Linked DNA regions of Notamacropus eugenii. The protein of the gene in region 1 interacts with the protein of each later gene in a pairwise test. Links are inferred from orthologs where the notes say so. Each region holds a gene or a part of one and is shown in the gene's direction. Other genes may lie near its edges. The genes, in order: HOMEZ, RNF8, DNTTIP1 and AEN.

Region 1 (7,287 bases):
ACATGTAGTCATGAACCGCACTGATGACTTGGTTTCTCTCCTTACTGGGTTAGTCAGTATTCCTATGCCTGCTGTACATTTCTGAAAGGAGTGTGGTATGCACCGCAGTGCTCTGAAGCTTTCTGGGAGGGCTCTCTTGGGGTTGTGCTGTTCCCTGCCTGAGCACTAGAAGATGAACCCCACTACCTCCTGGACTGAATTCTCATTTTCTCTGTCCTCATACCCTTCCATGCACACATTTCACGCAGCAGCACCATGGATTCCACCAATCCTGCCACCCAAAAGATGTCAACGTGTACATCTATCTTCCCCCACACCTACCCCCTTCTCCTTCCAAAACTTTGCTACCCATTGACTTTCTGTCCACATCCTTAACAGGAAGACAGGCAACACCAACCATCCCCAGAGTGATACACTAGTTTCCCAGGGCTGGCCCGGCCCAACTTACAATGGAAGAGACTTCAGAGTACAGTGAAAAGGAAAGTACAGGGGTTAGGTTATTTCTCTATTCAAACATTAATAATGTGACAAAATATATCACAGAAAATGCCAAGCAACAGAAAGTAGTACCATAATGAAAGGGCACACATTCACTCGTTTTGAACAAGAGGTGTGATCTGAGGGGAAAGAATTATGAGATGGTTGGAAAGGGGGCTTCTTTGTGTTACCAGATGCCATCACTTGCACCTAAATTGTAGCCTTCAGCCATCTGACTTCATGTTACTCCGGGTTCCAAGTCTTGTTTTTTCATGTATAGCTCACAAGGGATGGTGGTAATTCATCATCACTGGCTCTCAGAATCACAAAATGTGTTAAAGCTAAAAGGGAACTTCAATTGTCTAGTCTGGCTGTGTTAGGAGACTGAGGTCTGAAGAGGTTTGGTAACCTATTCAAGGTCACTCAGACGAGCTAATGGTAGCATTAGGGCTGTAACTTGGGTCCCCTGTGTTCTTTCTGTATTAGTTCCTAGGACTAGATTTTCCCCAGAAAATCTCCGGCCAAAAATACTTTCTCATTCAACAAACTCCTAGCTTTTTGACAAAGGTAAAAATAAATCAAACATCTGTTTCTCTTCAAACACTATCTTTAGGCAAGAATTTTCACTGTTCCTCTCCTAAGCTTTCTAAATGTTTCAGTTCAGCAGACTTTATTAAGCACCATAAACGTGCAGAGCATTGTGCTAAGTGGTTGTAGGTCAGATGAGGAATATACAAAATCCAGATAATGCAGGGTCCCTCCCTGCACATACAGAATCTAGTCTGGGGTATGACAGATACATAACAGCAGCAGTCATAGGAAAAAGCAACCCTGTGCATCATTAGAGAGCTGCAGCCTGGTCTGGGAGTTCCCAGGAAAGGATGTGAGGAATGGTGGTTACCACCTGAGACTGGGGGGCTGGCAGAGGACTTGGGGAGGCTTTCTGTAGAAGGTGACATTTCATTAGATTATGAAGAACACATAGGAATTCAACAGGTCTGTGGGAGTGGGGAGAGTATGACAAACAAGGAACTGTGAAAACAAAGGTCCCCAGACAGTCAAGTATAAGATACAGCAAACAGTCAGTTTGACTGGAGCATGGTATATGTAGAGGGGAATAATATGAGGTTAAGCTAGAAAAGGTAGAGTGATACCTTGGATTACAGACAAGAAGGAAGCTTTGAACAATTCTGAATAGGAGGGCACAACTAGATTAGTGCATAATGCAGACATCTGGCAGTAGGGGGAAAAGATGGCTTGAAGGACGAGAGCAGAGGCAGAAAGACCTATTAACATTTAAGCAGGTAATCATGAAGGCCTAAGCTAGGTTAGGAATGCTGGAACTGGAGAAGATGCAGGAGATGCTACAGAAAAGAGTCAATTGATAATGGTTGGCCTGTGAGAGGTGTGGAAGAGGTAAAAAAGAAAAAATAAAAGATGGTGACAAAACAGTCCTCAGAAGAGAGAATGGTTTTGGGGTTTTTTTGGAGCATGTGGAATGAGTTTGTAGTTGAGGATAGCTATGTGGAGCTCAGGAGAATGGTCAGGGCTTGAAACAGATCTGGGATTCATTTATGTAAGGACCACATTGGAGAGAAGGGATGTGCAGAGAGAGGCAGTAGGGAGAAAAGGACTGAGAAATACCTTCCTTAAAGGGTCAGGAAGAAGAGAGAGATGGAGCCTTCCAATTGAAATTCTATGATTCTAAGCCATTAGAGAAAAGAATCAGAACACTGTGATGTCTAAGAAGCAAGGGAAGAGAAAGTATCCAGTAGGGACTGGACAGTTACCTGGAAGTAAAGGTATATGAGTACTGTCATGAGGCAATAGAGTTCTAAGTGTGTTCCCTTTATTAGAAAGGTTGGCACTTGCCAATAAAATGGATCCTCAATAGCCAAAGACCTCAAGTTGGGGACAGGCGGCTCTTTTATAGTGATTAACAAGATGACAATAAAATCTCGACCAACACAGGCATGCCTTCTGATGGTCTAGATGTTTCATGGAGGAGGTGGGATGAATGTTTACTCAGCTCCCCCCCATTACATCACTGGAAAATGAGCTCAATTCTCAAGTGATGACGTCAGTCTGTAGGCAGTGGGAGTTGCTACGGCAGTTGTGAACGATGAGCCTGACCTTTACCATGCAAGTTTCTCCAGAATGTGGGGGAAAGGGGGAGGGAAGGTCAAGTTACCAGAGTGGAGGTACAAGTCTTCAAACTAAACCAAAGTGACCTGAGATTACCTGAGTACACTTGCAAGGTGTAAGGGATTTAGACTCACTGGGAAAGAAAGTATTAAATCTATGCTGGCTTAGTTAAGTTTTAACAAATAGAATTAAAAGTTAATTTTCAATTTCACAGGGCTAAGAAAGGTCATTAGGTTTTGGCATTAAGTCACACCTTTGAGAGGCCACTTGCAGTTGAGTTGTGTAGGACATAAAAATGTAAGGGGTTGTGGAGAATGGTTCGTATAGAAACATCAGATATAAACAACTTTTTGTTGAAGATTGGTAGTGAACCAAAAGAATGCCTCTATGTAAGAATTAAGTAAAGAAACTAACTGATAATGGCACAGGATGAAAAGACTGTATTATAATGAATTATAAGTGTGCTTTATAATCTGGATTAGTGGAAGGAGTTGCCCAAAGAAGTAAAATCATAGATCCACCAGAATATTGGCAGTGAAAGGAAAGAAATAAATGGGGTAATTGTTGGATTTGCTAGAAAAGTGAAGGAAAGATTTGGAGGGGGCGACTAGAAAGATTTGACCATGTTTATAGTCTTGTGAGAATGAAGCAGTGGAGATAAAGAGGGTGTGTGTGTGTGTTTTGGGGCAAGGGAGTTGGTTCAATTACTGGAACAAGGTCCTGGAAGGAGCTGGGATAGAGAAATACAAGAAATGGGTGAAAGGGGTCAAGGGCACAACTAAAAAGACCAGCCTTTGCAAGTAGCTGGGGATGCAATTTCTCTGAAGTAGGATATACTGATTCCATTCAACAAATCAGAGCCCTTTGGATGGCCTCCGTCTTCCCATTGAAATAGGAGACTGTTGCCTGCTTGGAAAAGGTCTGATAGTTTGAGAAAAAGTTTTACAATGTTCACAATGGGGTATATAATGTTAAGAAGTAGTAAAATGAACTGATGAGTTTTTCCTCTGCCCTCAGCCCTTGCCTTCCATTTTACTGGAGATAATAATGAACTGAAGTTGTCTGAAGGCTCTGAATCCACGATTCTAACAGCAGCAGATAAGAGGAAATTAAAATCGGCTGAATGTATACTTGCATCCTCACCCGTGCCCTCACATCCCATAACACTGTATGCCTCCAGTTCCAGCATGACAGTATGCCCCCAACCTCTCTATTTTACGATCTTGCGCCTGATTCGGGACCACCCATCTGAACACAACACCTTCCCTTACCTCTTTTCCAGATAGAAAACATTTTTCTAACAAATAAAAAATAGAATTAAAATGGAATCTCAAACACCTGCATAAGCAGATGTGTTCTGGGTCTGGGAGAGGGGATTTTGTTAAAAAGTGGGCAAATAGGCATCCCCTTTGTCAGATGGGGCAGCACCCTTCTACCAAAACAGCTGACTTTTCAAAGTCCCATCAGAACCTTGCTCCTGGTTGGTAAACCTGTGCAAGGTGAGGGTGTAATGGAGTGGGGAAAGGTAGCAGAAGTTTAAGGGTCATAGTAGGACACTTACCCTAGTGGTTTTCCAGGATCTTTCAGGCAGTGGAAAAGCCAATAGTGGAAAATTTGGAGTCCTTTTTTACATATATCAACAGCTGCCACTAGTCACAGGAACCACCTTGGGAAAAGAGCTCAGTTTAATTCTTCTTTAAAGCAACCCCCAAATCTTGAGTTAGTGAGGGGAAGGGTTCCCTGAGGGTTACATCCTTCTGTGCCATTGGTCATCTTACAGGCAGGCGTGAAACAGGGAAGATAAGAAACGATATAGAGAAGCTATAAAAGCCTTTCTGCCCTGTCTGGAATGGGACAGCAAAGAGTAGATTAATAATAAAAGAAGAAAATGAGCTTTCCCCCACCACCACCACCACCTTAAAGGACAAAAACCTTCAAGTCTCCTCCCCCATCCATCCTGGTGGTGGTACAGTCTGACTGACTCTAGCTTTGGGGCCAGAATCTTCCTACCCCTGGAAGGCCCTGGGGCCTGCCCTAGTTACATCATAATGAATGAGCTGTGATGTCACTACAGCTTGTCCCCGCTTCCCACCAAGGTTTTTTAAGTAAAGTCTGATATGCTGAAGGATAAACCCACCATGAGGAGCAGAGCCTCAGAGCGAGGTGAGTGGGGACAGCCTCATGACGCCCGATCCTCCTAGGCTCTCCACCACACTCCTGCTTTTCTCCCCTCGCCTCCCCCCACACTGCTCAGTTCCTCCCAGCTTCATCTTTTGTGGTCCCAGGCCACTATTCTAAAAATTACAAGTAGCTTCTCCAGCTTCCACTAGCTTTGTCCCTTCACGCAATCAGAGAGAGCATACTCGTGGCCAATAGAATCTGACCAAACTCATGTGCAAAGTGCATGAGCAAAAAAAAAAAAAAACTGAACAAACCTGAGAGAACTGGTCAAGTTGAGGGAGGGAAAAATCCGCTTTGCTTCCATACTCATTTCTAGCCATAGGAAAAGTGGTTTTGTTCCCTTTACTGCTTCAGTCAATCCAGTCTTTCTTGTGCTCCATTTTCTCTCTTCCCTCCCATGGGAAATAATTTTTAAAAGAATAGAGGGAGTCTCTGTGCTCCCTTCCCCCTTGTGGACTCTTCCTGAATTCAAATCTAGCCTCAGACATTAGCTGCGTCACCCTGAGCAAGTTACTTAGCTGTTAGCCTTGGTTTCCTCATCTGTAAAATGAGCCAGAGACTGAAATGGCAAACTACTCCAGTTTCTTTGCCAAGAAAACCCCAAGTGGAGTCAAGGAGAGGCAGAAGATGGGAGCAACAAGGCACTTGCCATCCCACCCTCCCTTGGTCTTTCCAGAGCTAGCTCTTCCACCTCTCCTGAGCCACAAAAACAAGATGCAATAGTCTGCCCAGGGCTAAGTAGCTGGGGGAAATCCCCACAATCTGTTTCCTTTCCACCCTCTATTCTGGTTTTAGAGCCACAGTGGCATGTCTTTGCTGGTCAATCCAGGTTTGTTTCATTTAGGTCCTATCCTCTAGACTACAAATTTAAAGCTGGAATGGAACTAGAAAGGTCATCCAGTCCAACCCTTTCATTTTCTTACAGATAAGGAAACTGAGGCCCAGAGGGATTTGCTCAAGGTCTTCTGACTACAAATCCAGTGGCCCTTTCCACAGAGACTCTAACTTTGACCAAGCCTGCACTGCATGGCGTGGACAAATGTCTCTGGCTTCCCTCCTAACTGAAAGTGATGTCATCCAGGGCTCTAACCTGAGTGGAAAGGTTCTGGGCCTTTACTGTGGATCTGTTTGGTGAAGTTTTGTCCCCAAATGATTAACATTACCAAATTTTAGTTTGAAGGATACCTACACAATATATACCGACTGGTGGGCAGGAGGGGGAGCAGGGATCATGATTACATGTAGTTGTATTTCAAAATTCTGAAAGAAGACTCCTGGCCAAAAACAGTCCTGACGGACCCCATCACAGTCTTGCGCAGTTCCCTACAGTCAGGCTATCTGATAACCAAAAGGACTCTAGACCCTGAAGCAGACCAGGAGAGCCTAAAATGGAAGCTGGAGTTCTCCCTTGTGAGGGAAGAATTGAGGCCCCTGTATTGAGCAAAAAACATTTCATCTCCCTCAGGCTATTCCCTTCCCTTTAAAACATAATGACCCTTACTAACTACCTAGCAAGGTGGTTACAAGAAGAATTCCATAGGAATAAGAATTGAGTGTACTGTGAAGAGGACCCAAATGGCAAGAAATTAAAAACTGCACAAGAAAAGGTGTTATGTAGTGGAGGGCCAAGGGGACGGCAGAGCCAAGTCAACCAGATGGGTTTCTTAAGCCCCTGCTGCCTGGCACTGCGCTGCCCACTGGAGGTAGAAACCCAAGCAGAAAGCAGTGCCCGCTCCCAAGGAGCTCACAGTCCGACAGGGCTTGGGAAGGGGGTGCGAGGAGAACAAGCACGAAGATGGGGTGCTTGGGAGAAGCTGGGATGATCAGAGGAAAAAGGAGCCAGAAAGGCTTCCTGGAGATGAGCTCCGAGTTGGGGCGGTGTCTGAGAAGATGAACGGAGAGCCCTGCGGGTGACACGGCGTGCCCTCGAGGATCTAGAGCAGAGGCTGCCAGACGTTTTTAAGAGAACATTTACTTAGTGCCCACCTGGAGACCTACTTTATTTAGCCCTTTGCCTTGGTTTAACTTCCATCATTTTTTCTAAACTGATGCAGCTTCAATCTAGTAGCTGGCTGTAGCTTTGGGAGGCTTTTCCCACACTGAAGTGCTGCCGACAGCAGGCCCGCAGCCCGGCACCGCACAGCGCGGCACCGCACGGACCCCCGCCAGCTTACCCCCGCAGTGACGTTAAGCCGCCGCTCGGCCGGGAAACGAGTCCGAGCACGTGTCTGGGACGCCTCCCCCGCCTCCCGGACGGCCCGGGCCCCGCCCACGGAAGGGCCCCGCCCACGGAAGGCCCCGCCGGCGCGCTCCCAGGCTCCTACCTGGTCGGGGCAGAGGCCTGGCCGCTAGGTGGCCGGAGCCAGGGCTCCGCCCCGGCCGCCCACGCGCGCTTAGTGTGACCCTGGCCCAGTCACTGCGGGCCTCACCTTCCTCCTCCGTCAGCGAGCGGCACAAGGGAAGGGCAGAAGCACTTCAGGGTCC
Region 2 (6,827 bases), on another chromosome or scaffold:
TCATATGGTAGGTTACTGCTGCCAAATACTGTATATATTTACCCCAATGCAGAAATTTTAAAGGTAAAAAACCTAGGTTTTATTTATATGCTCAAGCACAGTATGCTTCAAAGAAAGACAAAACCTGAACCCCAACTAGACGTCTTACAAACCCTCTTATAGGTAAAATTATATCAGAGTGACAAGAGAAATAATGCTTTTACATATTGCAATCTTGTAAATTTCTTTTAGATCACATAAGTTAAACATAAGATAGATCCATCAGCTCATACTTTTTCCAATGTCATAAAAGTCAAACAAACTTGAATTATAATCTCTTAGTTCATGATCTCTCATCATCGCCTTAAGGAAATAAACTTTGTCAAACAGACTCTACAGGTAAACTAAGTGAGGTTACAGATTAAACTACATTTCTATTCACAAATAGGCAGATTTACATGTTGGCAAGGAGTCAGGAACAGCTGAGATTCTTCCATGGGCTTTTTATCTAAAGAATGTTTATGGCTTTAAGTAAATTTTCACATCTTATGGGATAGGTTGATATTAAGACAGGGTTTTAGTTAGCCAGAATTTGCAAAAAGGAATGGCCCTGAATCTCAAATAATAAAAGAAAATAAAAAATTTCTATAACAATCTCAAAATCAACCTGACCAAAAGTCAACTCACTTGCTTTCCAAACTTCTTTAGTTCTACTAAGGATGCTGCATCACCCTCCCAGGCGCTCAGGCTCAAAACTATAGAATCATCCCTGATACTATGCTCTTCTTACCCCCAACATCCAATCATTTCTCACATCCTGTCATTCTACCTATGCCACATTTCTTTCTTTCAACACTTTCTCCTCTGGACTGCTGTTATTAACCTGCTAATTTGCCTCCTCCCTGGTCATCTCTCTCCAATCCATTTTCCACAACCTGTCAAAATAATACTCATAAGATACAGGTCCGAGCAGATTGCTTCTCTGTTCAAAAAAAGTGAAGAAATAGCGATTCCCTGTTGCCCCTAGAATAAAATGCAAAGTGGTTAGCCTGATATTTAATGTCCTCCACAATCTGGCAACAACCTACCTTTTCAGCCTTATTTAACATTACTTTTCTTCACATAGTCTACCTTCTACCCAAACCGCACCTCTGGCTATTCCCCAAACTGAGTAGTCTTTGATTGCCTCTGAACCTTTCTCCTTAGAATCTAAGAAGGGGACCAAAACTGTCTCAGAAATAATGACTCAAACAACAAATGAACAAAGCATTTGATTAAACATTGCTGTGTGCAACACACTGTGCTAAGTGCGGGGGATTCTAATAGGAAAGTAAGACAGTCCCTGCTCTCAAGGAGCTCACGTTCAACTTGAAGAGACAACACTCATGGAAAGGTTCAACTCCAAGACAGATGGAAAAGACCCAGGATCCTTAGGGGGCAGTGGCAAAGCATATGGTTAGTTATGTTTCTTAATGTCATTTCCACTGATAAAATCTGTCAGTTTCTGATGCCAAACCATTTGACAATGACAAGGACTTTGGTGAGAAAAGCATCTTCAGTAGCCATGGCTGCAGCACCTGCAGGAGCAGTGAACAGGCTGTATCTTCACAGGGGCTGCTTCCCAGGATGATGGCTGGTCTGGAAGCATGGCTATTTTCAAGCTCTTGTATTCATCGTCCTAGGCTGTCTCTATCTGGGTCTGAGGGGAGGTGGTGGTCAAGATGGTGGTTCTGTTGAGTTGAGTGAGGCACATGATGGCCTCCTGTCTCTCAGGGTGCCTTGCTGTTTTATGAATGACATGAACTAATAAAACCAGCGTTAAACATTCTGTGTAAAAGCAAAGGAGACTAACCAAAAACGTCAAAGGGGTCTAACTTAGCAAAGTATGAAAAGATGCACCATATATGAGGTGTACCCAAGGCAGTGTGCTGGAGCCAGCTGGGAAAAGAAGAACCTATTATGGTCATCTAAATGCTCTGAAATCAACAAAGGCTTGAATTATTGTTTTGTTGATTGTCTAAAGTGATGGAGAAAATGTTAATAATGTAGATTAAACTTAAAAGTGTCTTGCATATTTTTTTTGGAAGAGCCAGTTAAACATTTAACAGCACACTCCTGCCAGGGGGCCCTTATCTCTGTTTCAATAAGGACAGAATAAGATTAAATGACGTTGAAAGAGGAGAAGCCAATGTGAAATACTCTATTTGCACAAACAGAAACCATCCCCAAATATAGATTACCTCCCTAAGCCTCACTTTGAAAAAGGAAAAAAAGTTATGCACTAAAAAAGATAAGCAATTTTAAGTCACAGGTTTTATATGTCCATTTTTTGGGGGGAGGAATAAAGTTTGGATCTATTGATTTAGAGCTGAAACAGATCTTGGAGATCATCTAACACAAACCCCTAATTTTACAGCTGAGCTCTACAATAAACATATGAAGCATGATAATGTCAGGATCCGCATGCCAAGACCAGCGCTCTCTTTTTGCTCCCCTCTCTTTACTCTTAGGAGACAACCTTGTTTTCCAGTGCTAAGGCCCAGCAAGCAAGCTGTGTCCTGAGCCTAGCATAACAACAATCCTTTCTGCTCACCCTCTGGATGAACACATCTGCAACAAAATTCCAGAACTGTTTCACACCAGCACAAGTTGGTACCTGAGCTCTAACAAACACCTGCAGGACTCATGTTCTAGTCAGGAAGCCCTGCTGCGAATCAAACGTGTCTCACTTTTGTAGTTACTCCTCAGTGTCCGGGCTCCAGCTCACTGCTTAACCACTACTATATCTATTGAGATTTGACCACACTAAGGTAGATTTTCTCTGTATCAGAGGAGGCCCCAGGCACCTGTGTCTAGTTTCCTTCTTCTAACAAAATAAAAAATGCTTTTCTGCTTTAACTACTGTTAGCTCTTTGGTCTTATTTTATTTTCCAGAGTTAACTATGGTTGGGATAACTTGTGTGAGCTCTTTGGTATTTTCGGAGTTAAAAGAGACTCTGATCATCTGTTTTCAGGGTTGAGAAGACTCATAAATTATTTAACTCCACTTAAAATGTATTGTGAAAGGTTTCTAATTTTTGTCTTTGAAATACTAGTTCCCAGTATATTAACACAAAGTAAGGGCTTAACTGATTCTTTTTGTTTTGGAATAAAATAACATCATTTTGGAAATAAAGTACAAGTACTTCCAAGTAGTGTATTTATTAAAAGTAAATACGTTAAGCCTACCAAACGCTCATAATTTTAAAAATAACTTTTGAATCAATACAATTCAAACGTCATGAACACAATAAGCACTTATATGAAATGTTTGTAAAGCGCTTTACAAAGTGCCTGGCACGCAGAAGGCGATTAATAAACGTTTGTTCCCTTTGCCCCTCTCCCCTCCCCCTCCCCCATTCATTGTCTGGGCCCAGCATGTCAGTTTCTCGCACCGCAATTAGGCATCCAGCGAATGTAACAATGTCTCAGCCGCAACTTTACTTTCTCCATAAAGCTGGGAGAACATCAGCGCGGCTCTGTGGCTCTGACTACAAGCAGAAGTTCACCGAGAACAGCCAGCTGGTGAGGAGACCCCGCCTCCCGACCCGGGACAACAGAGGACGAGAAGCCCCCACGGCTCCCCCGCCTCTCTCCCGTTTCCCTCCCCACCTCCTTAATGCCTCAAGGACGCATGCGCTAGTGCTTTCACGGGGCGGGGGTGGGGGAAGAGGAGCGTAAGGGAAGGATTGATACTTTCTCACGTGCCGCGACTGGGGCGGGGAGGGGCGGGAACGGGAGCCGGGGCCTTCGAGCGTCCGTGGAATCGATTGCAGTTGCGTAGGCCGGAAGCGTTGATTGCTTCGGTCTGTTACTTAGACATGGCTGCGGCGGCGGAGCCAGAGGTTCCAGGAGGCAGGCAGAGGAGGGACGGCCGGGCCCGGGGGCCCGGCAGGGGCCCTGCCCTGTGCTGACTGAGAGCGTGGCCGGGATTAGGTCCGGGTCCGAGACCGGAATCGGGCCTGGGTCTGTGCCGGCCTGGCCGGCCATGGGGGATCCCGGTGGCGGTGACTACGACGGCCGCCGAGCCTGGTGCCTGCGGCGGGTGGGGATAAACGCCCAGTGGCTGCTGCTCGAGGATCGCAGCGAGGTGAGGGGGGAGGGGCGGCCTGGCCGGGCCGAGGGAGGAGAATGAGGCCCCAGGACGGTGGGGTGGGAGATGAGGCCGCCCGGGGGGTGAACCCAGTGTGTCTGCCTCCGCAGGACCGGAGGGAGAGGGGGGGGGGGGGGGAGTGTGTGTCCTGCTGAAAGAGCAGAGGGGGAGAAGCGGGGCAAAAAATAAAAAAATCTGCCCTGCCGGGAGAAGGAAGGGAGGGGGTGGCCTTAGAGGAGTGAAATGAGAGGCAAGAAAATCAGTGCCTGTTTTATGATGAGCCTTTTCGACCCCCCACCCCAGTCTTAGATCCCTTCATAGTCAATCAGTAAACATTTATGAAGTGTCTACTATGTCCCGAGCATCGTGCTCTGCGCTGGGAAGCTCACAGTCTTAATGGAGACAACATGCAAACTTTAGACAGGATAAAAAGGAAATTGGCGGACTCCAGAATTAAGAGGGCTTGGGAAAGGATTCCTGTAGAAGATAGGAGTTTAGTTGGGACTTAAAGGAAGCTAGGAGGAGAATTCTAGGCCTGGGGAAGAGCCAGTGAAAAAGCCCTGGGTCCGGAGACTAGGTGTCTTTTTGGCAGAACAGAGTACAGTATCACTGGATCGAATTGTATGTGTGGGGGATTAGGGGGAAGAAGGGGGGGTGGTGGTAAAAAGAATAAAAAAGTGGGTGGTGGGGCTAGGGTGTGAAGGGCTTTGAAGACCAGAAGATTTAATATTTGAACCTGGAGATGATAGAGAGCCTCTGGAATTTATGGGGATGGGGGAGAACAAGGGGTGTGTTTACATGATCAGATCTATACCTTAGGAAGATCACTTTTGACAACTTAGTGGAAGATAGACTGAAAGGGGGAGACAACTTGTGGGAAAAAGATCAACGAGCGGACTATTGCCGTAGTCCTGATAGGAGGTGGTGAGAGTCTTGTACTATGACAGCGTCGTAGGAGAGAAGGGGAACAGATGGGAAAGATGTTGCAAAGGTGAGATCACTAGACCATGGCAACAGTTCAGATACCTTCTTACAAGGAAGTGACACTTCTGCTTGCCAAATATTACCCTTCTTGAGCCCTTTCCTTTTCACCTGGCCGGAGCTTGCCCCTCAGCAGTTTAGTCCATCTTTTATTCTCTTGGTGGATATTGGCCTCATCCACTGGCTCTTTCCTTTGTGCCTAAAAACATGCTCAGATGTTACACAGTCCTTCCCTTAACCCTGCTTTTTTACCCCCAGACACATACAACACTCTGTTTCTCTTTTTGTTGCCCAGCTCCTAGGAAAAACTCATTGCCTCACTAAAAGCTCAGTACCTCACTTCTCAAATCGCTTCTCTTTGGTTCCTGACGTTGCCATTCTGCTCAAACTGCTAAACAAATAACCTTTTTTAACTGTTAAGTCTGATGGCCTCTTCTAAGGCTTCTTTCTTGAATTTTCTTCATTTTTTCACGTTGTCAGCCACCTCTTTTCTTGGATATTCCTTCATCCTCTGGTTTCCTTGATGGTTCTCCCTATTCTTTCTTTTTCTACCTAGACCTTTGAGTCTGCTTCCCTTGTTTGGCTCCCTTCTATTACCTTTGGTGATCTCATTTGTTTCTGTGGATTTAAATATATCTATGACTCAGCATTTTTGTTTTTGGATTAAACCTATGATTTTATTAGCATAAGAAGCTCTCCTCAAGAAACTCCCTCTACCAGTGCAGGTGGGTAGGTGCTGAGAAGTGATTTGCTCCGCTCACACACCCAGTATTTAGGAGATTGAAGAGGAAATTGAACCCAGGTCTTACAGATTCTCAAGCCCATTTCCTATCCATTGTGCTAATGAACTCAAACTATATATTTTTTGTAAACCTCTACTGGAAAGGGATTTTTAGCACCCCTATATTTGTGTATTTATAAATTATTTGCATACTACTGTATGCATATAGACATATTATAAAACATACAAAACATAAAAAAATGAGATAGATGAAATAAACAATTTTTCAAATTTTTATTTAACAATACATTTTGGTTAAACAGATTGTGATACAGGGGCCTAGTGCTAATTGTGGTGTATCTTGATACTTTATCTTAATGATTGGCATAGCTGAAAAAGATAACCTCATATAAAGATATTGTCGATCCGAATGGAAGAAATGCTTCATTTGGTTATGTTTGCTAAATCAAGAAACACAGTTTCCAAACCCAGCCACGACAATTATTCATAAGTTTTTGTTGAATTTGTTTTATTAATAACTTCCATCTTCCCTGGTGTCAATTCTTACAAACTATTCAGAAGATAGTACCTTTCTTTTTTTTTTTTAACAAATGAGTTGAAAACCTTTTGAAACTTTTAATTTGCTAGATTTCTAAATAGGCTGTAAAATTTGCAAATTTAAGTGTGCAGATAGTTTTTATAAGTGACATACATTGTTTCTGGCAACAGAAGCTTAGTTTTAAAGGTCATTCTAATAATACTAACTTCATGCTGTGATTAGCTAATATCTCAAAGCACAATATAAACTTAGGGTGAAGTTGTTCATTAATAAAAGATAAATAAAAATAAAGCCACATTTGCTTAATCATAGGTTTGTGGATTTAGAACTAGAAAGGTGAGTTATCAAGTCCAACCCTCTCACTTTACAGATAAGGAAACTGAGGTCCAAAGAAATTAAGTGGTTCACACAACTAATGTGTATTGGAGGAGGAATAATTTTTTATATTTTTGGTT
Region 3 (7,997 bases), on another chromosome or scaffold:
AATTATAACTTGCATGAAGTAAACAGCACAAAAAAAATAATTAAGAAAATGTACAATGAGGAAAAAGATGGGAAATTAACAAGCCAAAAATGAAATATCAAAGAAAAAGAATCCAAGACCAGATGGATTTACAATGAATAGTATTCAAAAAAACTATTAATTCCAACATAGCATAAACTAAATGCAGTGATAGGGAAAGGGATATTTCCAATCTCTTTCTAGGATACAAATAAGAATCTCAAGGGAAATAATGAAAAAAAGTGGGAGGAAAGGGGGCCTATCAATACCTGATCTCATACTACACCATAAGGTAGCAATCATTTAAATGATTTGGTAGTGGTTAAAAAACACAGAGGTAGATCGGCGGAATAGATTAGATATATAACACAGAGAAGCAAAAAAATAAAAGGGCACAGTATTTGATAAACTCGAAGACATTAGTTACTATTAGAGATGCACTTGACACACAAAAAGGTATCAAGAAAAATTTATTAAAATAGAGTTCAGAGGAGGGAGTGCCTTCTATGTTCATTACGAACGGATAGCTTCCCAGTAAGGCTATAGGAAGAATTCAACTTGTTCAGATCAATGGAAGCTTCTTATACTGTTCCGAATTTTTGGACCTATCACCACCTGTCCCTTGCCACTTGACTTCATGTTCTCTTCTCTGCTAGGCTTTCCCTCAAACAGCTCATCAAGCCTGTGCACAAGTTTCTGACCTCTACCTGACCATGCTAGGTCACAACCCTGATCACCCCAAACTGTGGAAACAGAACTTCCTTGTTTCCCACAGTTATTGGGATAAAAATCTCAATATCTAACAAAAATTGATGCAAAAACTGGAAAGCAGTTTGGCAGAAATTAGGTATAGACCAAGATAAATTCTGAATGGGTACATGACATACATAAAAGGGAATATTTCAAACATATTAAAAGAGCAAAGAAGAAATTATCTTTCAAATATATGGAGAGAAGAGTTCATGATCAAACAAAGAGGGAAGGTCACAAGAAAAAATGAATAATTTTCATTATGTAACATTTTATAGGTTTTGTATAAAAAGATGAAATAAGAAGAGAAATAGGTAACTGGGGGGAAAAATCTTTTCAGTATATTTGTGTTGTGCCCTATCCAAAATACAGAAGGAACTACTTCAAAATTATGAGACTAGAGCCATTTTTCAATAAATAGCCAAAAAAATAGGAACAAAGCAGTTTTCCATGGAAGAAATCCAATCTATCAATAACCATATGAAAAAAATTCTCCAAGTCACTAAAGATTAAAGAAATGCAAATTCAAGCAACTCAAGAGGGTCCACCTCAGACTCAGCAGATTGGCAAAGATGATTAAAAAAAGAAAATGACAAATGTTCAAAGGGCTCTGGGAAAATAGGCACACTAATGAGCTCTTGGGGAATCTGTGAATTGGTTCAGCTATTTTAGAAATCAATTTGAAAGCATGCACAAAAAAAGACACTAAACTGTTAAACCCTATAACCCAGCCATGGATTACTAGGTCTATTCTGAAAAAAAAATTTAAAAAAAAATAAAAAAGACAGAGGAAAAGGATTTACATGTATAAAAATATTTATAGAAGCTCTTTGATAATATTCCAAAATTAGGGTCTAAGTGGGTATCCACTTATTGGAGAGTGGCTTAACAAATTAAGGTATATGAAGAAAATTAATATTTATTGTGCCACAAAAATGACAAAATGGACAGCTTCGGAAATAACTGAGGTCTCTATAAATTGATGAGTGAGGTAGGCAGAACTAGAACAATTTATACAACATTTTTTAAAAAAGGATTTGGAAAGACTTTAAAACTCTGAGCAACGCAATGTTAAGGCAAAAGTTCAAAAGACTGAAGATAAAACATGGCCCCACCTCCCACCAGAGAGAAAATGGACTTAAAATGCAAAAAGAGACGTACATTTTTGGACTTGGACAACGTGAGAATTTGTTTTGCTGAACTATGCATATTTTGGGGGCGTTTTTGTTTTCTTTTTTTTAAATTGTTCGACTGAGAGATAAGAGAGCAGGAGATGGGAAAGAAAACCAATACTTAAAAAAAAAAATTAAGAGGATGAAAACTGGTCGTAGTCAAAAGGAGGCAACAAAGTGCTTGAGCACTCACCCCCAATTACTTGGTACACCGCAGTACCAAAGATGAAAAGCACCATGATGGGGCAGAGGCTGCCTGAGGATAAGGGTGGGGGCGCAGCATGGACCACAGCTTTAAAGTTTCCCCAAAAAAACAGCTCAGGGAGAGGCCAGAACCTAGGAACTTCCCAGAACTCAGCCCCAGAACCTTCTTTATACAATGCACTGCCAGGGAAATTTCCTGATTGGAAAAAAAAAAAATGGATTGGTTTCTGACCTGATAGGAAACTGTATTTACAAAGAACAGACGTGGGGAGAATAACAGGTAACAGTATGTTCAGCCTCAAAGCCTAACACATTTTCCAAGTGTTACAATGGACAGCTGGTGAGGGCGCTATGGATGACTGAAGAAAGAGTCAAAGAGAAGCAAGCCTACAAGTCTGTTTAAAGAAACAGTACACTCTAGCAATGGGGCTGTGGCTAAAGCAAACTCATTGTGTCCTAAACCTAGCACCCCTTCAAGCTTCTCATTCTGTCCAGAGAAGGAAGCAAAGATACTAAAAAAGAAATAGTTAGAAAGATGCAGAGACCCACTCTAATGAAGTTGCATCCAAAAGCAAATCAAATACATCAGGATTTAGTCAACTTGAGAACCCTAAAAACAAAGAGCAAAGTTACAATTTGGAGGCTCCTAAAAAGCTATAGAAAGCATTAATGTTGTCCACAGTCAATGGCTAAAAAATGACAAGCATCGTCTTTATCTCTCTAAGCTCAACCACAAATGAACAAATGAAGAAATTGGTGGATCCACACTATGAGTAGGGGTAGTTAAGTGGTCCAGTGTGCAGAACACTGGAGTCAGGAAGACCTGAGTTCAAATTTTACCTCAGACACTTACTAGCTGTGTGACCTTGGGCAAGTCACTTAACCCTGGTTGGTTCAGTTTCCTCATCTGTAAAATGTGCTTAAAGAAGGAGTAGGCAAAACATTCTAGTATCTCTGCCAAGAAAACCCCAAAAGGGGTCACTGAAGAGTAAAAACTGACTAAAAACAAACAATACTGATGGTGTGATGGGACCTAGACCCTGAATTTTCCCACACAACCCAGCCCCTGGCATCTTGCCAGAGGCATCTGGCCCAGTCCTGCCCACCTAGATCTCAATAGTCCTTTCACTGTGGCTCTGTGACCCACCCCAGACCACTTAATTCAGTTCACTGCCGCCATCTCAGGCTATTTACTCCTCCTTAATCTCATCTAGACCATTTCACTGTTGTCCCTGGCCCACCCCAGGCCATACCTTAATCCCATCAGAATCTTTGGTCTTTTTTTATATTTAAGTATCAATCTCACCCCCTATCAAGCTGCAGATTCTTTAAGAATCTAGTGTACTCTATGGGTGTTAACTCTCTATTGGTGTTAGGATAAACCTTGCTCCTCTGACTGAAAAAAGGCTTGAGTGCTTGAATTCTTTCCAGGCAGACTCACTCTGTACCCTGACATTTAAGGGTTCCCAGCTACCCCAAACCACATCAATACTATGGGTGCCAATAACTGCTAGTAGCACTCTGTAACATCTCCCTCTTTGTTTCCCCTTTTTTCTCCTTTCTTACTTCCTCTCTATCCTGCCCATGCCTTAGTTTAGTCAGTCACTGCAAGAACCATAAAATTTCAGAACCATAAGGAATCTTAGAACGTAAGCCATAAAATAGCAATACTAGAAGGGACTTCAGAGATTACCTAGTCCAAATTCCTCATTTTACTAAGAAGAAAACTAAAACCCTGAGAGACATATACCTAGATGCTAATGGCAAAGCCAAGGCCAGGATACAAACTGGATCTCAAGTCAGGTGCTTGCCTGATCACCCCTGACACCCATAGTCATTCTGCAGCCTTGCCGGTGGCATTCAGGGCTTACTAGGTTGTTGAAAGAATCCTAACAGAAGAAGGGAACTCAGAACTTCAAGTGAAAACTACCGTAAAATCCAAGGCCTGAAGGAATCTTTCTCCTGCAACAGCAAAAACCAGTGTTGGCTTTAGAGGCAATTCCTGAAAGTGCCATACCTTCTGTGAAAAGTGAAATCTTTTCTGTGCTGTAAACCCATCCATGAGTCTGTAGGATTTGTCTTCAAGCTCTTGAAATGCCTCACTTGGGTATTTAAGGGCTGGTCCGGTCCACATTCCCAGCCAGGCCCCCAAATCACTGGTATCTAGGCCAGAGGGATTCTCCTTCCCGCCCAAAAGGCGTGACTTACTCTTCAGGCTTCAGCTCCTACTAAGGGTGAATCACTCCGATAAGAGGTCGAGGTGTTCAGCCCCAAGGCTGATTTACCTTAGACCCTCGGTGCTGGAAGGCATTTCCGAGATCCCACCTCATGGACAGCGACTCTAACCGAGACGGGCAGACAAGGGAGAGGACGTGCCCACAGTGGGTGGAGGTCAGCCTAGAACCCAGGTGTCCTGCCTCCCAAGTCCTGGACCCCAGGAACTCAAGAATATCAGAGACGGAAGGAATCTTAAAACCCACCCCAACTAGCCAGGTTCATTTTACAGACGAGGACGAAGAGGACCAGAGAAGGAAGGAGACTCGCCCAAGATCCTGCAGGGACGCTTCTCTCCGCGGCCGCGGGCGCAGGGGCATTTAGGGAAACTCAGTTTTCAAACTACCAACCGCCCGGCCCCCCCCCCCCCTCGTAGTTAAACCCGCAGGCTCGGGGGTGGGGGTGGGGGGGTCCCATCAGCCACACCCTCCGCAGAAGCCCCGGCCGACGCCCACCCTAAGCCGCCCTGGACCCCAACAGCCTCTGCTCTCCCTCTTCCCCTTTTCTCCAGCTCCCGGACGCACGCGCCGCTCGGTTCCCATGGCAACCTCGCCGCCTGCCGCGTCGCTCTTCCGGGGGGCGGGGCGGCGCGGCGCAATGACGTGTGACGGGCTCGTTTCCGGCCGGTGGCTAAGGGGCTGGGCCGGACCCCCGGCTGCAGCGGCGACAGCGGCTGGGGTGGCGGCGGCGGCCTGGCCGGGTGCAGGAGGGAGGGAGCATGGGGGCCACTCGGGATTCAGAGCAGCCGCGAGGCCCCAGTGGAGCGGAGCGGGGCGGGCCCGAGCCTGGAGACGAGGGCTCGGCGGGGCAACTGGTGGTCACGGTGAGAGAGGGGCTTCGGGGAAGGTGGGCACGGGCCCCTCGGGTCGGGCCGGGTCGAGGCCTGTCGGGGCAGGGAGCTGGGCTGGAGCGGGGGGCTAGGCCTGAGAAGGGCCCCTTGCCCAGCCCCAACCCCTCCTCCGTCGTCCGAGATCGGGGGCGCAGGGGGCTCACCAGCGCCTTGGTTCCCGCAGAACCCCTGGAACATCATGATCAAACACCGGCAGGTGCAGCGCAGGGGCCGCCGCTCCCAGATGACTACGAGGTGAGCCCGCTGGACCCGGGGACGCTGCGGTGGCACCAGCACCAGCTGCCCCGGAGCCCTCACTGCTGGGGGGGCGGGGGAGGGAGGAAACGGGGAGTCTTCCTTGTTGGAGGCTGGAAATGGACCACTGAAGAAGGTCAGGAGGGCGGACCCAGCTCCCTGTGTGCCGTGAAAGAAAGGGCACTGATGTAGAATGAGAAGATCTAGAAAACAAAGTGCCTCCGTTTATAAAGATGTAAAATGAGAGGGTTTTTTTCTCTAGGTGATTTCCAAAAGTTTGTCTTCTCTGGACCTCAGTTTTTTCTCTGCAAGATGAAAGTATAAGTATTTGGACCAGTTAGTTTCTTGGGTACATTCCAGTTCTAGACCTCTGACATTAGGCAAGTCAGACCTAGACCTTACCTAGACTTCTATTTCTCCCTCTGTAAATTAAGGATGATTCTAGGAGCATGAGATGACTTAGATGGGTTCTAAGGGCATTTTCTACTCTTAACATGTTTTTTCCCCACAATGTTCCCAAAAAATGGAAGATTGTAAGATCATCAGGGGTTAGTTAATGGCCAGCTAGTGAATTAAACAAGTCGATCATGATCTTCCCCGCGTCAAAATCCTTCACCTTAACATAAATCTTCTAGATTCTGCCAAGCATTTGTGGTGATCATTGACCAGTCTTCAGAACTTCACGTGTGTATTTGGGTCTGGAAGAAATCAGAGCCAAAAGTCTGTAGTCTGTAAAGCCTAGTTTATTTATATTCCAGGATCAGCTCCCTCCCAAGACAGATCCCAGAGTTGATAGTTAGATATAAACCCTAGGCTATGCCTATTTTATATCTCCCAAACTAGATTATAATCTCTTTCAGAGCAAGGACTGTCTCTTAAATTTATAATACTGTAAATGTAATAGGAACTCTAAATGTTTATTGATTGATTTTTTGATTGACCATGTTAGAAGTCCTTCATCTTTAAGGTCAGGTATTTATTTAAGGATTATTTAATATAAGACAAGCTATGACAAGAGTCATTGCCCCTGGCAGGACAAAGATGAATAAAGCATTTGTAACTAGTGTGACATTTTTCCCCTTTTTGAAATGCAGCTTCACAGACCCTGCCATCTCTATGGACCTACTTCGAGCTGTCCTACAACCTAGCATCAATGAGGAAATTCAGACAGTCTTCAACAAGTACATGAAGGTAAGTGATGTTGGAGGAAAAATGGGCAGGGAAATACTAACAGACGCACCCTGTTTGCTTGGATCTAATCTTCTACATCAGAATCTGAGTCCTCCTGGGACCCTAAAATCCACCTAATCCAACTCATATATGTCAGAAAATCTTCTCAACCAACATTTCCAGTAAATAATCATCAGAAAACATCTGGTGAGGATATAAATATTCTCACACTGGGTCAGACTTGCAGTCCATCTGTCCTACTATTCTGTTGCTGATAGCCCTCAGGAATGTCCCATGGGAAGGTTTGGTTGTCTTCTCCGATTTCAACCTTAAAGGATAGCAGAAATAAAGGTGATGTCCCATGCCCGATTCAGATCTAGGTGAGTCCCATTTAAGGAAAGATATCAACAAATTGGAACACATCCAAATGAGGACAATCAGTGTGGTAAAAGGCCTGGAGTAATTATTGTTGTTCATTTCAGTCATGCCTAACTCTCTGTGACTCCATTTGGGGTTGTTTTGGGCAGAGATACAGGAGTACTTTGCCATTTCCTTCTCCAAAGGGCTTGAGAACTCTGCCATAAAAGATAGTTTGAAGAGCCTACAGATTTTTAGCTTGAAGAAGGGAAATTTTCTGAAGTAGCTTCACAGATGGAGGGAGGGATGGATAGATAGGTAACTATCTGGGATCATTGAAAGAACTGAATTTAAGAGGAATTAGAGGAGGAATTAGATGTGCTGATTAGCCCTAGATGGCAGAACTTAGATCAGGTAGAAACTGCAAAAGCAGATTTGGGCTAAGTATAAAGAAAAAGTTCATAATAATTAGAGCTATCCAGCAGTGAAATGGACTCCCCTAGAAAATAGGTAGTGAGATCTGTGTCACTGGACATCTTCAGGAGGAGTCTTGGGCAACCACTTGGTCTGTCATAGTGAAGATTCTTTTTGAGGAACAGTTTATATTAGATGCAATCAGAGATCCCTTTCAACTCTTAGATTCTTTGAAGTATACCCCACAGCTATTTATGGCTCTGTCATTGATTCACTTGTATAAGCCCTTTATTTCTTCTGTCTACCTGCAAGGCTTTTTGTGGTAATGAATTCCATTGCTGTTGTACACCTCTCGTATGATGTAGGACTTAGCATTAAAGTCTCAGATTTTTAGAGGTTACTAAATCTCAGAATTGAGGGGAACTGGGTACTCAGCCTTCCTTGTCCAGTCTGTCTCTGAGAGAGCATTTACTCCATAACTTTTGCTTAAGATCTCCATCAAAGAAGAACCCCCTCCCTTCAAGATAACTATCTTCATTTTTGATAGCTGTTGG
Region 4 (7,861 bases), on another chromosome or scaffold:
AAGGGTGGCCAGGGAGGTTGTGTCATCAGGAGGGATCCAGATCCCAATGGGAGCCAGGGATGAAGGGAGTGGAAAAGGAAAAGATTTAGGATGAAAGTATTGGTTACCTACTGAGTATCTATTCCAAGGAACACAATGGAAGAAGTGGGTAGCTTCAGAGTGGGACACCGCAGTCAGCAGTGGGGAGGGGTATATGTGAATAGATTTTGTATAATGGAGGAGGGGCACTTCAAGATGATTTGGATGGGCTGTATATGATGGGGTTGGGTATTTTTTAATCATTGTCAAATGAGTTCTGGAGAATTAATAACATCACTAGATCCATTAGTCTCAGGGTGATGACCTCTCAGGTTGTTAGGCAGCTCAGGCTGGGGACTAGTACGAGGACTTGCCAGAAAAGGTTTTCTCTCCTAGTGCTTCAGGCAAGTCAGACCAAGCCAGGAGATAAGTGGAAGAACAAGAAGGAATGACCTCTCTGTCGCCTGAAGGAAGGAAGGGTGGGTCCTCTCTAAGTGGGACAAGAATAGCCCAGGAGATCTGGGCAGATGAAATAGTATTGACCAGAGTTTTAAAGTCAGAATTGTTTAGTTTTACAGTTACTGTAATAATTAACTGTATAATTCGTTCTCCTGGTTCTGCTCCATGCACTCTACATCAGAGTGCCAGTCTTCTCAGGTTTCTGAAACCATCCCCTTCATCATTTTACTAACCCATTCTTAGCACTTTCCACACTGCTCTAGTTTATATTCCTGGAATTTAAGGCAGGTGTTAGATCAGAGCACAGGTGCTCAAGCTGTGGTCCTATGACCCCGAGAGATCCCCTAGACCCTTTTCTGTCCTTGACAAAAATTTCAGGGGCTCGATGAGGTCAAAACTATTTTTATAATAATACTAAGATGCTATTTAGCTATTAAAATACTCTTCTCCAACTACATATGTCTGTGTAAGTTCAGATTTTCTTCATTTTTTTAAAAAACCACAACAGCATATGACAACAGATGGAATGCAGAAGCAGAAAAGAGAATCCAGTTGTCTTCTATTAAGCTGACATTAAAGAGATATGCAAAAATAGGTAAAAACTACATTTCTTTTTGTTTTAGGAAACACTTTTCATACTTTCCTTCATTACCGGTTGGCTTTTGATTGTTATTTTTAAATGGATTAACGCTATTTTTAAAAATGACCAGTTTCAAATTTTAACATGGTAAAATATCAAGAGATATAATCAAAAGCTCTTGGAGATCTTCAATCATTTTTAAGAGTGTAAAAGAGCTCCTGAGACCATAAAGTTTGAGAGGTGCTGGATTAAAGCAGTGACAACTGAAACGCCATAAGGTGAGAAAGAGAGTTAGAAAGAGGGAGCTAGGAATTGTATCTGAAATTTTTATTTTAAAAAATTTTCTTTTAAAAAAATGTTCTTTTTTCTGCATCCGGGTCATTTCTCAAACTCAGTTTCCCACCCTCCCCACAGAGTCAAGCCAAACAAATCGATACACGGACCAGGATTGAAAACAGAAGCCCCGTCTGTCCCCAGGGTCTCCAGGAGAGGCTGGGAACGGCTGCAGGTCTAGATCAGAGCTCGGAAGTGTTTCCGTCTTCCTTTACTACCGCGCTAAGGGTGCCTCCGGCTCTGTTTACCGGGCTCGGTCCCGCAGACTTTACCTTTAAATCCAGCCCGCAGGTGAGGAGGACGAGCCCGGACACCCCGCCCCGTCCTCGAAGCCACGCGTCTCGCGGCTTCCGACGGCTCGCCAACGTCAATCCCGTGACCAATCAGAGGAGCGTAGGGGAGGGCAGTGCTGTTGAAGCAGCCAATCGGCGGAGAGCAGAAGCCGGGCTTGCCCGGGCATGTGGGAGCCTCTGCCTTCTGTGCGACCACGTGGGGGCCGGAAGGGGGACTTGCGAGTGTCCGGTAAGCCGTGAGGTCGGGGGCTCGGGGCCTTAGGGGAGGGAGACCCTCGGGAAGTGGCAGGGCCTCGGGGCGGGGGGCGCGGACTGAGCAGGCGTGGGGGTGGGAGGGAAGGCCGCGCCCGGAGGCCGGCAGTCGCAGCCTCTCCCGGTTGCGGCCCCCTTTATGACCTCGCCACGCGTAGAGAAAGGCCCTGGCGGGGCCGGGAGAGCTTCTGGATCGGGCTGGACCGTAGGGTCCGGGGGGGGTGGGGGGGGTGGTAGGGCTGGAGGAAGGGGCCTTAGGGGCCGTCCTGGTGAGCCCCTTTATTTTACAGAGGAGGAAATGGAATCCCCTCCCCAACCCCCCCAGAGCTTAACCGACTTATCCCAGGTCAGGGCCCGAGGCAGGACTTGAACTCAGGCCCCCTGACTCGGGGTTCAGAAAAAAAGCTTGGGCTCCGGGAGGCCAGCCGTCCAACGCCGCCCCTGCCGCTTGCTATCCGCGTGACCTTAGACAAGCCAGGTAACCAACCCCCCTGGGTCTTTGAGTGTCTTCCAGTCCGATCTTGGGACTCCACAGAACCGCAGTGCCTTCCCAGGATCTCGGCTTCCCCTCCGCTAAAACTGGGGAGCGGGTCTAGGTGAGGTAGGAGAGTCTGGGAGCTTTGACTTCTCCTGGGCCTTGTCAGCCACCCTGCGGCTCCTTGAAGGTGGGTGTCCAGTTTGAGGGCAGCCCTGACTGCGACCGCGTCCCTGGAGGCCCTCCTCTTGGGGACTCAGCCCCCATTTTCCTTCAGGCTTTTCTGTGGATGATAAAAGATTACAGAAATGTTAAAAATTGAAAGAGACTTTAGCTATCACCTCCTAATTTCACGAAGGAAACTGAAGCCTGGAGGGGCAGAGTGATTTGGCATAGTTGTTCAAGTAACAGAGTCAAGATTTGAACTCAGATCCTCCCTGTGAAGAGGAGTGCACTCAGGTCTATTTTATCATCAGGCTTCTCATTCAAGAATCATGAGTCTGTGGATGCTCCAGAATTCTGGAGGGGTGGTAGTGCTGAATTGGGTCCAGGAGCCTTGGTACTATAGAAGAAGAAAGATTGATCCAGTGACTCAATGGATCAATGACTCTTTTAATAAGACCCCTCTGGAATGTGCCAAGTCTGGGCTATGTTAGTCAGAGCATTAGTCACTCAAAGATAGGTCAGCACTAATCACAGCTTACTGTGGCTCTTGAGAGCCTATCCTTTGATGAGGTCATGCTTATTTCTTACAATTCAACCTCACCTCTTCCCTGTGGGGTGAAAAGAGGTCCTGGAGACTTCTCAAGTATCACCTAGTAACCAGAAGTCTAGAGAGTTTAAGTATTATAACAGAATGAAATTTTAGATGTCAGGATTTGGAAGGAACTTTAGAGGTTCTATCAGGGAAAAAAATCTCTGGGGTAGGAGTAAAACAGTTCTGAGTTCCAGCTCTGCCATTGTCATTGTCACTTGTGTAGTCTCAGGCAAATCACTTAATGTCTCTGAGTCTCAGTTTCAGCATCTTTTGAACAAAGGGGTTGGAAAGATGACCTCCACAGTTTCTTCCAGCTACAAATCTATGATCCTATTTGCTTAGTCCAACCTCTTAATTTAATAGATGAGGAAACTGTGCAGAGAGGTTGGTGACCAAGGTTGGTAGTCTTCTGACCCCCTTCCTCAATCTAGTGCTTTTCATGTGATCTGGCAAATTGCTGGCAGAGTCCAGAATGCTAATCTCCTGGCTCCTTGCAATCCTCTCTCCACTGGAATTCAGATTCTCTTACACTGTGTTCATGATTTGTTTCTCAGAGTCTTGACTAACTTGGATTCCCAAAGCTCTGGAACTTGGCTACCATAGTTACTCTCCGATGGTGTCTTCTTGTCCATTAGGGTTTATATATGTAATCCTACAAAGGAGCTTTAAGATTGCCTGCTAGAACTCATTCATTCTCTTCCCTACTTATAAACCTCTCAACTCCCACAGGGCCTAAAGAGGATCATGTGGCTCACGTTTTGTTTGTTTTCCAGATGACCAGATAATTGTATTGATTTTGCAGGATCAGGCACACATTGGGAAATTAATGTGTTGTGTCTGAAAATAAAGAGTATATGTTAAGGGCTCTTACCATCTCCATTCAGTGTTCTCAGGAAGCCAGTTCTGATGACCAACTGACCCTCGGTGGGGGAAAAGGGGTTTGGTCATTTCATTTCTCAGTGCCCCTCTTTCCTCATTTGCCTGATAGGAAGAAAAAGCACTGCTATCAAACCCTTTAAATTGGTGTTGTTGCTATTTTACATATGAAGAACACCAAGGTCTACCAAGGCTAACTGACTTGCCCAAGATGACAGAGCTACCTAGTGGCAAAGCCAGAAATAGAATCCAGGTCCCTGACTTCTGTCCTAGGGTTTTTCTATTATACTTGCACTGTAAATAAAATTTGAGTAAGGTCAGTCTATGCTAGACTCTTGACCTGAGGAAAAATGACTCCAAATGAGATTAGGAATTAAAATCTGACTACTTTGGTATGGGGATGTGTAAAACAAACCACCCACAAATTAGTGTCACTCAAGTGTGTTATCCTGCTGTGCCCTGCCTTTCTGCTGCTCATCCCTGTTCCCCTAGAGGAAACAGTCCAGCTCAGACTTAGAATCGGTTCCTTGCAAATACCAGGCAGGACAGATAGGATCTGAGCAGAGGCAGGGAAAAGTTTATGGCCACTGGGGTTTCTGCTTGTTCTATATATGGCCTAAGATATACCCTAATTCTGCCAGATAGGGTATTTAAAAGAAATCTTTTGAGATAAGCCCATTGTTTTAGATTCAGGGAGAATAGGAAAATCCCAGCTCTACTACCACTAACTGCTATGTGATTTGGGGCAAATCACTTTCAGGACTTCAATTTCCTCAGCTGTAGAATGAAGAGAAAACTGTCTTAAAAACATTGAGTGACATGCCTGATGTACTAAGATGTACTGAGGTTAAGAGGTAGGTGTTAAAACCAGGTCTTTTGACCTCATTTACACGTTAAAATGTTTAAAATAACAAAAAGGCAAAAATGTGGATTGGAGTATAACAACAATTTTATGATAAAGATTGAGTTAATTAGAGAAGACATCATTAGAAGAGGTGAATCCTGACCACAGTTTATAAACAAGGGATTCATTGATTGTAGATGGTAGAGAGGCAGCCTAAACCAGTAAGAATTAAAAATTTATAAAGATGAATTTGTTGGTCTGCTTCTAGATGGCAAGGAGTGGAACTACTGACATACTCTAAGTACAAGGTTTATTCAGAGCATGGAAACCATTGAGGGAAATTCCCACCAAATGATTCTAGGAGATGAGCGGCTGTCTTACTGAGCAGCCTTGAGTCCCAGTTATGGGACTGGGTTTGGGAAAGCAAAGCATATGCATAACCCAGGAAGTCTCTATCCAGATTGTAGATTCAGTGGCCCAACCCTGGTAGGGTTGCTGGAGCCTTTTGTAAAGGGATCGTTTTAGGGTAACAGAGGTCCCAGATACTTTTGAGCATCAGTCATGAGTAAAATCCTTGACCTTGGGCTCCTGCTGTCCTTGATTATAAGGACAATCCTTACCTAACTGACTATTTCAGGTAGACCCCAGACCATGTTTCCTCTTCTTGGCAGCCATCTTGCTGCCTTGTCTACTCTTGCTCTCATGACCCCTCTTCTCCATTTTTAGTTCTCAATCCATAATCAAATTAATAGTGCCTTTGCTTTTGGAAAGAGGGTGTGTTCATATAGCTCAACTCACTATATACTATTTTCAAAATTGAATGCCTGACTAGCTACCACCCCACCTGAGATGCCACAGGCTTTGGCTCCCACTCCACAATGTAAATTTTATCTTCATCTGTCCCATCCCTGGCCATCACTCCCCTTTTGTATTGTCTCCTATTGGAATTTCAACCCCTTTATGGGAGAGACTGTCTTCTCTTTTTAATTTGTAGCCCCAGAACTTAGTATGCTGTGTACAGACCCATAATAATTAAATGCTTTTTCATTCACTTATTCATGGATTACTAGAAGTTCTTTGCTGCCTGGGTCTGCACTAGTAGATTTTTCAGTCAGTCTAGCTGTTTCTTGTCTATGTGCGTTGTTCCCGTCACTGGGGGAAGGAGTCTGATCTCACCAGCTTGCATCCATCAGCAAGTTGTATGTAGGGTTTGTTTAGTAACAGTAAAGGGGAGGAGTTGGCAAACAAGTAAACTCAAGCAAGTAAAACTCAAGGGTACCAATTTAAAGGATTAGCCATACAACCATCTCATTGTACCTGGGGAAAAATCCATTCACTTCTATCTGATTTGAGTCTAGAGATCTAGGCTCCAATCTTGGCTCTGACATTTACTATACATGTGACCCTTTCTAGTAAGTTTATCTTATGACAAGGTAGTTTACTTTCTGAGTTTCAGCTTGAAGCATGTATGAAATGGATAGGGAGGGGTAGAGGAAATCCTTCCCCTGGTCCCTTCTCACTCTGATGATTACTCTGACATCTGTTTCTTGTCCCCTTCTTAGGGTGCTGAGCAATAGTGGATCAGAGCCTGGTAGAGAGATGGCCACCTACGTTCCCCTCACTGAGCTGACAGGTATGGCATCGAAAGACAGCTCCCAGTACTTTCAGTGCTCAGGTACACCTTCTACCGAATCCAGTGATAAGGACACGTCTCGGTGGTGGCACAAGAGGAGGAGCCGGCGGCACCAACGGTTCATGGCACACAAGGCGCTTCTAGAAAAGCGAGGTGTGCTGATTACACCTCAGGAGTCAGAGGGTACCCTCCAGTTGGCCAGATCAGAGGTTCTAGAGGATGCAGAGGCCACCAGGTGTAGTACACATCAGGTTACACTTGGATCACCTGGTACCCAGCCCAGAAAAAAGCCAATACAGAAGATTGAACCCAGCAAGGACACTGCCTCTGGCCATGCTATGCCCAACAAGTGTGTGGCCATTGACTGTGAGATGGTGGGTACTGGACCTGGTGGGCGGGTGAGTGAGTTGGCCCGATGCTCAGTGGTGAGTTACCATGGGGATGTTCTATATGACAAATACATCCGGCCTGAGACACCTATTGTGGATTATCGAACGCGCTGGAGTGGCATCACCCGACAGCATATGCAAAATGCTGTCCCCTTCAGAGTGGCACAGAAGGAGGTATGGAAATGGCTAGGGAAAGCCTTGTTGATATGCTGAGAAGTATTGGGGGAAGGCTTAAGATTCATACTTTCCTCTTCAGAGAATTTGGGGCAACTTGCAAATTGAGGACAAAATAAAATTGAAAAAATGGAGCAGGGAGGCTTGTGGAGTCTTCATCTGGCCCCACTTCTACCTCCTTTTTCACAGAACTTGTTTGTGTTACTAATAGCAGAGCCTGATTTCCCCTTCCACAGGTGACTTGAGCCTGGGGCTAAGAGTATGGTGTCTGACAATTATCTTGGTTCCATCCTGTGAAGGATAGTCTTGTGTCCTCGACTACCTTTTATAGTTTTTTTTTTAGGGCAAGAAATGACCTTAAACTCTTACATCTTCTATATACCCAGCAGTAGAGGCTGGTAGTATCATGTAGTGCAGAGAGAGCTGACCTCAAAGCCAGGAAAACCTAGTATATCTAATATTACATCTGACCCATATTGGCTGTAACTGAACAGATCAGTTAACCTCCCAAATTTGTAGGCAGTTCTCCAAGACTAGAAGTTGTAGAGAAGGGCCAACTTGTGTTGGAACTTGGAGTTCAGTGAAATCACAGGTCTAGTGTAGCACCTTCTTGCACACTGTTGAGTGTGTAGTGCTCAGTCCAGAAGTAGGGAACCTGCTGTCTTGCCTCTAGGCTGCAGGTTTCCCACCCCTGGCTCAATCAGTGGCTTTTGATAGGTTAATGGAGGTAGGATGAGGGGAAATCCTTACCCCAGCTGAAGAAGTTGTCCTAGGAAGA

What was found.
Region 2: the proteins of HOMEZ (region 1) and RNF8 interact in binary tests that used the Homo sapiens proteins (3 or more experiments, as listed by UniProt). The two-hybrid records come from large-scale screens. The link is inferred for Notamacropus eugenii from reciprocal best matches to the Homo sapiens genes HOMEZ and RNF8.
Region 3: the proteins of HOMEZ (region 1) and DNTTIP1 interact in binary tests that used the Homo sapiens proteins (3 or more experiments, as listed by UniProt). The two-hybrid records come from large-scale screens. The link is inferred for Notamacropus eugenii from reciprocal best matches to the Homo sapiens genes HOMEZ and DNTTIP1.
Region 4: the proteins of HOMEZ (region 1) and AEN interact in binary tests that used the Homo sapiens proteins (3 or more experiments, as listed by UniProt). The two-hybrid records come from large-scale screens. The link is inferred for Notamacropus eugenii from reciprocal best matches to the Homo sapiens genes HOMEZ and AEN.

The regions. Positions count from the first base shown.
Region 1 is NC_092878.1:9,850,361-9,857,647, forward strand, and holds the start of HOMEZ (homeobox and leucine zipper protein Homez), read left to right. Parts: upstream 1-4,284; 5' UTR 4,285-4,739; coding exon 4,740-4,785; intron 4,786-7,287. UniProt on the Homo sapiens protein: May function as a transcriptional regulator.
Region 2 is NC_092873.1:95,060,545-95,067,371, forward strand, and holds the start of RNF8 (E3 ubiquitin-protein ligase RNF8), read left to right. Parts: upstream 1-3,814; 5' UTR 3,815-4,006; coding exon 4,007-4,108; intron 4,109-6,827. UniProt on the Homo sapiens protein: E3 ubiquitin-protein ligase that plays a key role in DNA damage signaling via 2 distinct roles: by mediating the 'Lys-63'-linked ubiquitination of histones H2A and H2AX and promoting the recruitment of DNA repair proteins at double-strand breaks (DSBs) sites, and by catalyzing 'Lys-48'-linked ubiquitination to remove target proteins from DNA damage sites.
Region 3 is NC_092872.1:475,368,797-475,376,793, forward strand, and holds the start of DNTTIP1 (deoxynucleotidyltransferase terminal-interacting protein 1), read left to right. Parts: upstream 1-4,992; 5' UTR 4,993-5,136; coding exon 5,137-5,241; intron 5,242-5,431; coding exon 5,432-5,502; intron 5,503-6,596; coding exon 6,597-6,693; intron 6,694-7,997. UniProt on the Homo sapiens protein: Increases DNTT terminal deoxynucleotidyltransferase activity (in vitro). Also acts as a transcriptional regulator, binding to the consensus sequence 5'-GNTGCATG-3' following an AT-tract.
Region 4 is NC_092872.1:168,159,399-168,167,259, forward strand, and holds the start of AEN (apoptosis-enhancing nuclease), read left to right. Parts: upstream 1-4,847; 5' UTR 4,848-4,862; coding exon 4,863-4,897; intron 4,898-6,449; coding exon 6,450-7,083; intron 7,084-7,861. UniProt on the Homo sapiens protein: Exonuclease with activity against single- and double-stranded DNA and RNA. Mediates p53-induced apoptosis.